Linked DNA regions of Struthio camelus. The protein of the gene in region 1 purifies or fractionates together with the protein of each later gene. This does not show direct contact. Links are inferred from orthologs where the notes say so. Each region holds a gene or a part of one and is shown in the gene's direction. Other genes may lie near its edges.

Region 1 (3,744 bases):
AAATTACACTGGGATTTGCAAAATCACTTAGGGCTGAAAATTAATGTGGAGGCAAAAAAATGGACAAGGGCAATTCTTTCTGATAACACAGAAAAATTCATTTCTTGACTTACTGTCAAGAGCGTGGCTCGAGACGCGCCGTTCTTCAGCAGCATTCCTGATAAAGCTTTCTCGAGCAGGAGCCGTGAAACATTCACATAAATCAGCTGGCTGCAAATGTTTTTCACCAGCTTGTAAAGTAACTATTTGCGGCTCTCGGTCCTGCTTTTCTGGTAAGACTCCTAGTCCTCAGCCCTCCATGTCTGGCTCCTCGAAGGCCTGGGCTGTTCATCCCCATAGTGCCGCGGGGAGAGCTGCTCCGGAGGTGACCTGTGTCCAAGTGAATCGTCTTGGTGAGGAAACTACACAAAACGTCCCATTTTTCGAGCAGTGCTGTGGAGCAGGAGCGAGCGCGTTGCTCCCACCTCCTGCGTCCCCAGCCCTCCCAGGATCCTGGCCCTTCCGGCATCCTGCTTGCAGCCCACCAAAGCCCCCTGCTTTGCAGCTCCGAGCAAACATCTCGGCAGTTTCGTGGTGCAAGCAGGACTTGGGGGCTGCAAGGGCAAGCGCTTCCCCAGGTGGTTTCCGTAGGGCAGAGCCTGGGGAGGTCACCGTGGCGGCTTGCTCGCCATGCGTGGCGGCCCCGGCTCACTCTTAACCGTATTGACAAGAGGGTGCAAAACGAGAGGGCACAGGGATGAGCCTGGCAAACCTCTGCGCAGGCTGCAAGCGCTCAGCCTGTAGGAGCCGGGAGGGAACTGGGCAGGGATTGCCCAGGCATCGCCGTGGGCTGGTCGCCCTTCGCCTGGTGATTGCTGCAATTTCAGCGCTCGTGTGTGTGCACACGCTCCCCTTGCTGCCAACGCGCCTGATGAGGATGGACACCTGGACGCTGCAAAGGGCAGCGCACGCTGCGGCGGTGAAACCAGCCGTTACCTTTCTGGAAAACCTGGCAAGAAAATGGCCCTTTGGAGTTGTTTGGAATGGGCTGCGCTGCTCTTCCTCCTCTGGGCTGCAGCTTCGCTCCCACCTCTTTTCCATTGTCTGCTGGAGGCCCCCGGGAAGGGGGGGAGCAGGCGAAGGTCCGAGTGGGGCAGCACCCCCAGAGCATCCCAGGGACATCCCCAGGGCCAGGAGTCCACTCTGAGATGTCCCCAAGCTAGCAACCCAAGCAGGTGGGGGTATAGCTCAGTGGCAGAGCATTTGACTGCAGATCAAGAGGTCCCCGGTTCAAATCCGGGTGCCCCCTTTTTCTTTTTTCCTCCTCTTCTTTTTTTCTCCTTTTATCTTTTTCCAACCCTCCACAAAAAAAAGGTCACCCCCCCCCCGCCCAAGTATTCCTTGCACCGAATCCACCCAGCGCCTCGGCCGTCCCGGTGCCTCCCGAGCAGGGCTCCCTGCAGCCGTCGCGGCCGCGGGTGGGTCTGCTTGGGTGGGTGAGTGGGGTGGGGGGGGTCGATCTTTTTTGGGGGGGTCCCGGGGTGGCCCCACGCGCAGGGTCGGGGCACGCCTCCGGGGCGGCCCCCAGGGGGCGCCACGTGACGCTCCCCCCCCCCCGCGGCCTCGTCACGTGGCGCTCCGCCGCGGCCTCGTCACGTGACGACCGCCCCCCCCTCCCCCCGCGGCGGTCTCATTTCCCGGCGTGCCGCGCGCGGCGCTCTCTCTTCCGGCGCCAAGATGTCGAAGCGGGGTGAGATAGGCGCGGGGCGGCGGCGGCGGCGGATCCGGACCCATCCGCGGGCCGCGGCGCCCCGGGACCGGGCGGGGCCGGCGCGGGGGGCGGCTCGGGAGCGGCCTGGCGGAGCGGGGCGGCAGGGGGTGCTGTAACAGCCGGTGCGGCCCGGCCGCGAGCCCGGTGGAACCGGGCCGGGGAGCGGAGGCCCTTCGGGCCACGGGCTCCGACACCCCCGGGGGCGGCGCCGACGTACCCCGAGGGGCCTCGCCCGCCCCCCCCCCCCGGCCGGGCTCGCTCTGAGGGCCGCGGGGCTTTGACGTGGAGCTCAGCTGGGGTTAAAAACCCGCGGTGGGGCAGCTGTGTGCCGGGGCCTAAGGAAGCTGGGGCTGGGAAGGGATGCACCTTTGTAGCTGTGGGATATTTGGATGCTGGGAGTTTTGCAACAGGCAGTTTCAAGGGCAAGAGCCTGGCTTGTTATGTTGCATCTGGAATATGTTTCTGCTCCCTAGTTGTGGTCTTACTGTTTTGGTTTTTTTTTTTTAAACCTGCAGGACGTGGTGGTTCATCTGGTGCGAAATTCCGCATCTCCCTTGGTCTCCCTGTGGGAGCTGTGATCAACTGTGCGGATAACACAGGTGAGTCCAGCTGCCACGTTTCTATAATTGTTTGTTTGTTTCTGCCTCTGGCAGGCTTTTTTCTGGGGATTTGAGTTAAGAGGAGGGATCCAGTGGCTCAAGACCGAGCCTAGAAACCCTCTGCCTGGAGAGGGGATGTAAATTAATAGAACAATTAGCTGTTGAACAAATCCATGGATTCTTGACTGTGTTAAGTCTTGGAGCAGTTTAACACAGTGGTGGTGCTAAAAACACTTTTCCTTCTGAAAAGCACTTGCTGAGTCTGTGTTTGTGGCTCAGTGAGATGTCGTGGGAGGGTATAGCAACAGTATCGCTTTTGGGTGAAGTGACAGCCTGTGCTGTTAGCTTCAATCAGTGGTCTGACAAGAGTCCCTGTAGAGGAAGCTTCTTCTGGGACAGATGGGCTGATGCAGGTGACTTTCCTTGCAGGTGCCAAGAATCTTTACATCATCTCTGTGAAGGGGATCAAGGGGCGCCTGAACAGACTGCCAGCTGCTGGTGTGGGTGACATGGTCATGGCTACTGTCAAGAAGGGCAAGCCTGAGCTGAGGAAGAAGGGTGAGTTTGGAGAGGAGCTGCAAGTCCTGCAGGGCTTCTCAAACTAAACAGCCCTGAGTGGAAGGGCAGCTACCCTGCAGCACCTTCCCAGGCGCAAGAGAGCGCACCAAAATGCACTGCTCAGTACATGTGTGCTGCAGAGAATCACTTGCCTGGCTTTCCTCAAGCTGTTCACTGTGGGGGATGGGGCAGAATGAATCCTGCTTATTTTGATGACTGTCGCCCTTGTAGGTTGGTATAACGTAGCTGGGTCTTGCTGGGTTACAGTAGCAGTCTGTGCCTCAGCATTACAACTCAAGTCCAACACAAAAAACTAGGAGGGGCATAATGCCATCATTAGGCTACTCTCTGCTGCTGAGAGTCTGCTTGCACTGCAGTGCCCTTCCTTTGTGGGATGGAAAGGCAGATCTTGCATCTAAGGGGAGCAAGTTTCCTCCTTCAAACTGATATAGACAGTAGGCACCTCCTCCCTGGAGTGTTAGTTCCACCCTTCTGAAAAGCACTTGTTGGGTCTGTGCTCAGTGGCTCAATGAGTTGTCGTGGAAGGGCATAGCAAAGACATCGCTTTTGGGTGAAGTAGCAGCCTGTGCTGTTTATTTCAATCAGTGGTGTGACATTGTGCCTTGGAAAACAAGCCTTGCTGCTGCTTTGGAGGGAATAAGGGGGAAGAGGTTCTTGCTGAGTATTGCCTATGAATTGGCATTACATTTAGAAATGTAAGTGGGAAACTGGAAAAACACTCAATTGCCCAAGTCCAGAGGTGGCTGAAGCGTTACACAGTTGGGTCTAGGCAAACTGTAGTTTGTAGACAGTACACAACCCAACTAATGCACTGCG
Region 2 (3,744 bases), on another chromosome or scaffold:
GAAAGCCTGGCTGCTGCGCTGGGTCGGGCTCGGCTCAGCCGGCCACTTCCTGCAAAGTTTGCAGTGAACTCCGGGCTGCCTGCCGGGGCGGGCCGCGCTGGAGGAGGTGCCGGATGCAGCAGACCAAGGGGCAGGCGGCTCTGGAGAGCTGGGCCAAGGCACTAGGCCCTGCCACCGCACCCCAGCTGGTGTCCACGCTGCTCCCCCGCAGGGGGTGGCTGGGGCCAGATGTGCGCTTAGCCTGGAGGGAAAGAGAGGCGAGGGCAGCTCCTGATAGCGCTCTAATTTGCTGCAAATTCAAGGAGAAAAAACAAGCAGGAACAGAGACCGCAAGCCCTGACGTGTGTGGGACTGGGGGCTGCAGAGCTGGGGGAGGCTCCTGCAGGGGGGCCTTCGCAGGGCTGCGCTGCATCTCATCGCTCTGCACTCTGGGAGCCGCCCTGCCTTCGATTTTTTCATTGCAAGAGATTTAGTTCAGCTTAACACTGTGTCCGGGCAAGACCCCACAGCATGTATTTTGCTCTTTGTTTTGTTAAGAACGTGCAATGTCTGATTTTGCGTTCACAACAGGTGTCCAGTCAGTGACTCCATGCTGTGGCGCGCTGGTCTCGCTGTGCAATGCCACCTGAGAAGTGCGAGGTCCCTGTTTCAGCACTTCTCGCTCAAAGCTGCCTATAAGCTGTGCAGTGCCCCGAGGGAAATTTCTGTCCCTACAGGGAGCAAAAAACTAATTGTGCCCATGGCTGTGCTTTTTAGTTTACCAGACTGCTTTCCTGAAACACTTCCAAAGTTATACAACCGGGAGCCTGGCTGTTTATTGGAGGCACCTGAATTCCCAGGGGTGAGAAGCGGAAAGCGCTGCGTATGGGGTTTCTATACTGTCTGCAGGACAGGAACGGCCAAAGCTTCCTTATAACACTCCACTGCAGTGATGCAGCTTTATTTGGGCCTGTTGGATCCTGGCGCAGTATTCCTAAGAGCCTCCGCGCTCCTTTCTCGTTTTTATTCGTTTCCCTAGCACAGGGGTGAAGGAATCAAATCAAGCGACGAAGGCCATTTTCGCCAGCAGGAATCCAGGCTGGATCAACGCCTAACCTTCCTGGCACGGCTCCTAACTCCAGGAGCGACTTCGGGCTGCGTTTTTTCCCGTCCTCGCGATGCCTTTTTTTGCTGACAGGACGGCGGCCGCAACGGCCAGACTCTGGATTTCACAGGCGGCAGCAGCGCCAATCCAGGCCTAGCGCGGAGCAACGACGGGAGCCCGCGCTAATAACGGAGCTCGAGGGGGAGTAACTGTAACGAAGGGTTAGCCTGAGCCGTGCCGAGAGGAAGCGAGAGGAAGCCGGGACGGCGGCAGCAGCACCTCCACTGCCGCTTCCGCCCTAACGGACATCAAGATGGCGGCCGCCGCCTACTCGCCGCCGCCCCTCCCACCCACCCACCCATTGGCTGCGCGGCTCGCGGCCGGCGCGGCCCAATGGCAGCGCGCGTTGCTGAGGGGTGACGGGAAGAAGCCGCCGCCGAGGCGCCGCCTCTTCCCTTTCGCCGCCGGGCTGCCGTCGCGAGCGCACGTCGCAGGCCTCTCTCCCGCGCCGCCCCCCCTCCCTCCGAGTAAGCGCGCGGCGACCCCATTTCCCTACTTCCCCCCCCCCCAACACACCTCTCCCGCGGGAGTGGTCGCGCCCGCCCGGGACGGTCCGCGGGGCTCGGGTGGGACCATTGCGGGAGCCGGGGGGGAGGGGGAGGCGGCCATGTGCTGGGGCGGCGGCGCGGCGCTGAGGCGGCTGTTGTCTCTCGCAGGATGCGTTACGTCGCGGCCTACCTGCTCGCCGTCCTCGGCGGCAACGAGTCGCCCACCTCCAAGGACCTGAAGAAGATCCTGGACAGCGTCGGCATCGAGACGGACGACGAGCGCGTGAACAAGGTGCTTGCTTCAAGAGTTGCCGCTTTTCCAGGGGGCAAACGCTCAGTAACGTCCTGGCGTTTGTCACACCCCCCCCCCCCCGGAGAAGCCCGTTTTCCTTCCCTGAGCAACGCAGAGGGAAAAGGGCCTGCGGTCATAACGGGCAGGAGACAAACAGGAACGGTGCGGGAGTGGTTACGTAGAAAACCAGGCTTTTTAAGAAGAGCTTTCTAGTGGGAAAGCTGCTCCTGATGTAGTAAGCTTCCCGTTTGCTGCATTAATGGCCGTGGGAAGAAGAAGGAAAAATTGTCTTACTGCCTGCCGCGTACCTGTATGCAGGGTGTTTCCAGAGGGGCGGAGGAAAAACAAGTTATTTTCCCGTTCGGGTGCCGTATCTTCACCCTCAGCCAAAATGATGGGTTGACTCAGCGGACAGAAGCCTTGTAGGGTTTGGGAGGTTGCGTTGAACTCGCGTTCAAACACCAGGTCTTTTAGCTTTGGCTTGTTTACCCTTGTTTAAAACCTTCATAAATTTAACTTTTTTTTTTTCCTGATCCTTCAATATCCAGAAAGTCTCACTGGTGTTTGTTTTGATCATAGTTATCCATCTTTCTATATTTGTACTGGCTGGACTTTATGCCAGTGTAAATCTAGTGAAGCCATGACACCTTCCAGATTAAGGGAGCCCACAGACATGGCATTTCACAGGCTGCATGCTCTGTGTGAGCAGGAGATATTTCTTCAAAACTTCTTGGTTGGCCTTACCTCATTTGTTCATTTCCTTTGGCTTTGGTGACGCTGCAGTGCTCAGCACTGACACCCAATAGCAGGAGCTCATTAGTAAGATCTATGACGTTCCTTTTTGATTTTTTTTTTTTTTGCTTGCTTGCTTTAGCAATTTTTGTTTTCCTCATCCCTGGTTATACAACAATGATAGTAAAATAGAAGTCAGGACTCTCTGTTCCAGTGCAAGGATATAGTCACCAGCTTGGCTTTAACATTTGGTAGTGCTAAGAACAGGACCCTGTGGTTTTTGGTGTGAGGCCCAGTGCTTCAGAGCTTCCCAGTGGAAGTTAAGCAAGATTAGTTATCAGTCCCTCAGTGAGTAACAAACCATTAGTGGGGTTTCCCAGTTGGCTCCAGAAGGCACCCTACTTTCTGTAACGTCCATGGATTCATTATGAATTTCTTGCAACAGATTTCATGAGAAAACTTTCACAGAAAAGCACAAAAGAGCTAGCTGGAACTTGTATTTCAATTTTCTGCTCCTTCCACTGAGTTGGAGCTGGGCAGGCAGCGGGATGGAGGCATTGCTCACCGTTAATCAATACTTGTGTAAAGGTAGCTTGTACTCTTGTTTTGACATTTTAAATTTAATTTACACAGGTTATTAGTGAGCTGAATGGAAAGAACATTGAGGATGTCATTGCTCAGGGTAAGTGCAGTCTTCGAGTGTCACAGGTAATTGCCTCTACCAGTTTGGTAACTTAGGCTTAAGAGCACAGAATTACTGTCAACTCCTTGACATATACATCAGTTTGGTCTCGCTGGCGAGCACTTTCATGCTGGATCTCTGCTGAAATGACTGTGAAATCCAGCAGGTCCATTCTAATTCCTTGCAGGTCAGTGCCAGTACCTGCTGGGTTTCGCTTGTGGACCACATTAAACTGGGAGACTTCAAAATGTATGAGCTTACTGGTAGTCTGCTCATAATATAGTTTTCTGGACATGCTGATTAGAGAAAGAATTAGCTAACCTTTGGTACTCTGGGAGATTTTTTTGGATTTACCCACTTGTGCAGACTAATTGAGTAAAATAGGAAGAAGAGACTGTTAAATGTA

The links.
Region 2: the proteins of RPL23 (region 1) and RPLP2 fractionate together in Homo sapiens (co-fractionation; 4 studies listed by BioGRID). This does not show direct contact. The link is inferred for Struthio camelus from reciprocal best matches to the Homo sapiens genes RPL23 and RPLP2.

Annotation. Positions count from the first base shown.
Region 1 is NC_090966.1:6,317,983-6,321,726, reverse strand, and holds the start of RPL23 (large ribosomal subunit protein uL14), read left to right. Parts: upstream 1-1,607; 5' UTR 1,608-1,716; coding exon 1,717-1,729; intron 1,730-2,265; coding exon 2,266-2,349; intron 2,350-2,586; exon of another isoform or gene 2,587-2,717; intron 2,718-2,778; coding exon 2,779-2,907; intron 2,908-3,393; exon of another isoform or gene 3,394-3,526; intron 3,527-3,744.
Region 2 is NC_090946.1:16,121,919-16,125,662, forward strand, and holds the start of RPLP2 (large ribosomal subunit protein P2), read left to right. Parts: upstream 1-1,471; 5' UTR 1,472-1,611; intron 1,612-1,800; 5' UTR 1,801-1,801; coding exon 1,802-1,924; intron 1,925-3,289; coding exon 3,290-3,338; intron 3,339-3,502; exon of another isoform or gene 3,503-3,635; intron 3,636-3,744. UniProt on the Homo sapiens protein: Plays an important role in the elongation step of protein synthesis.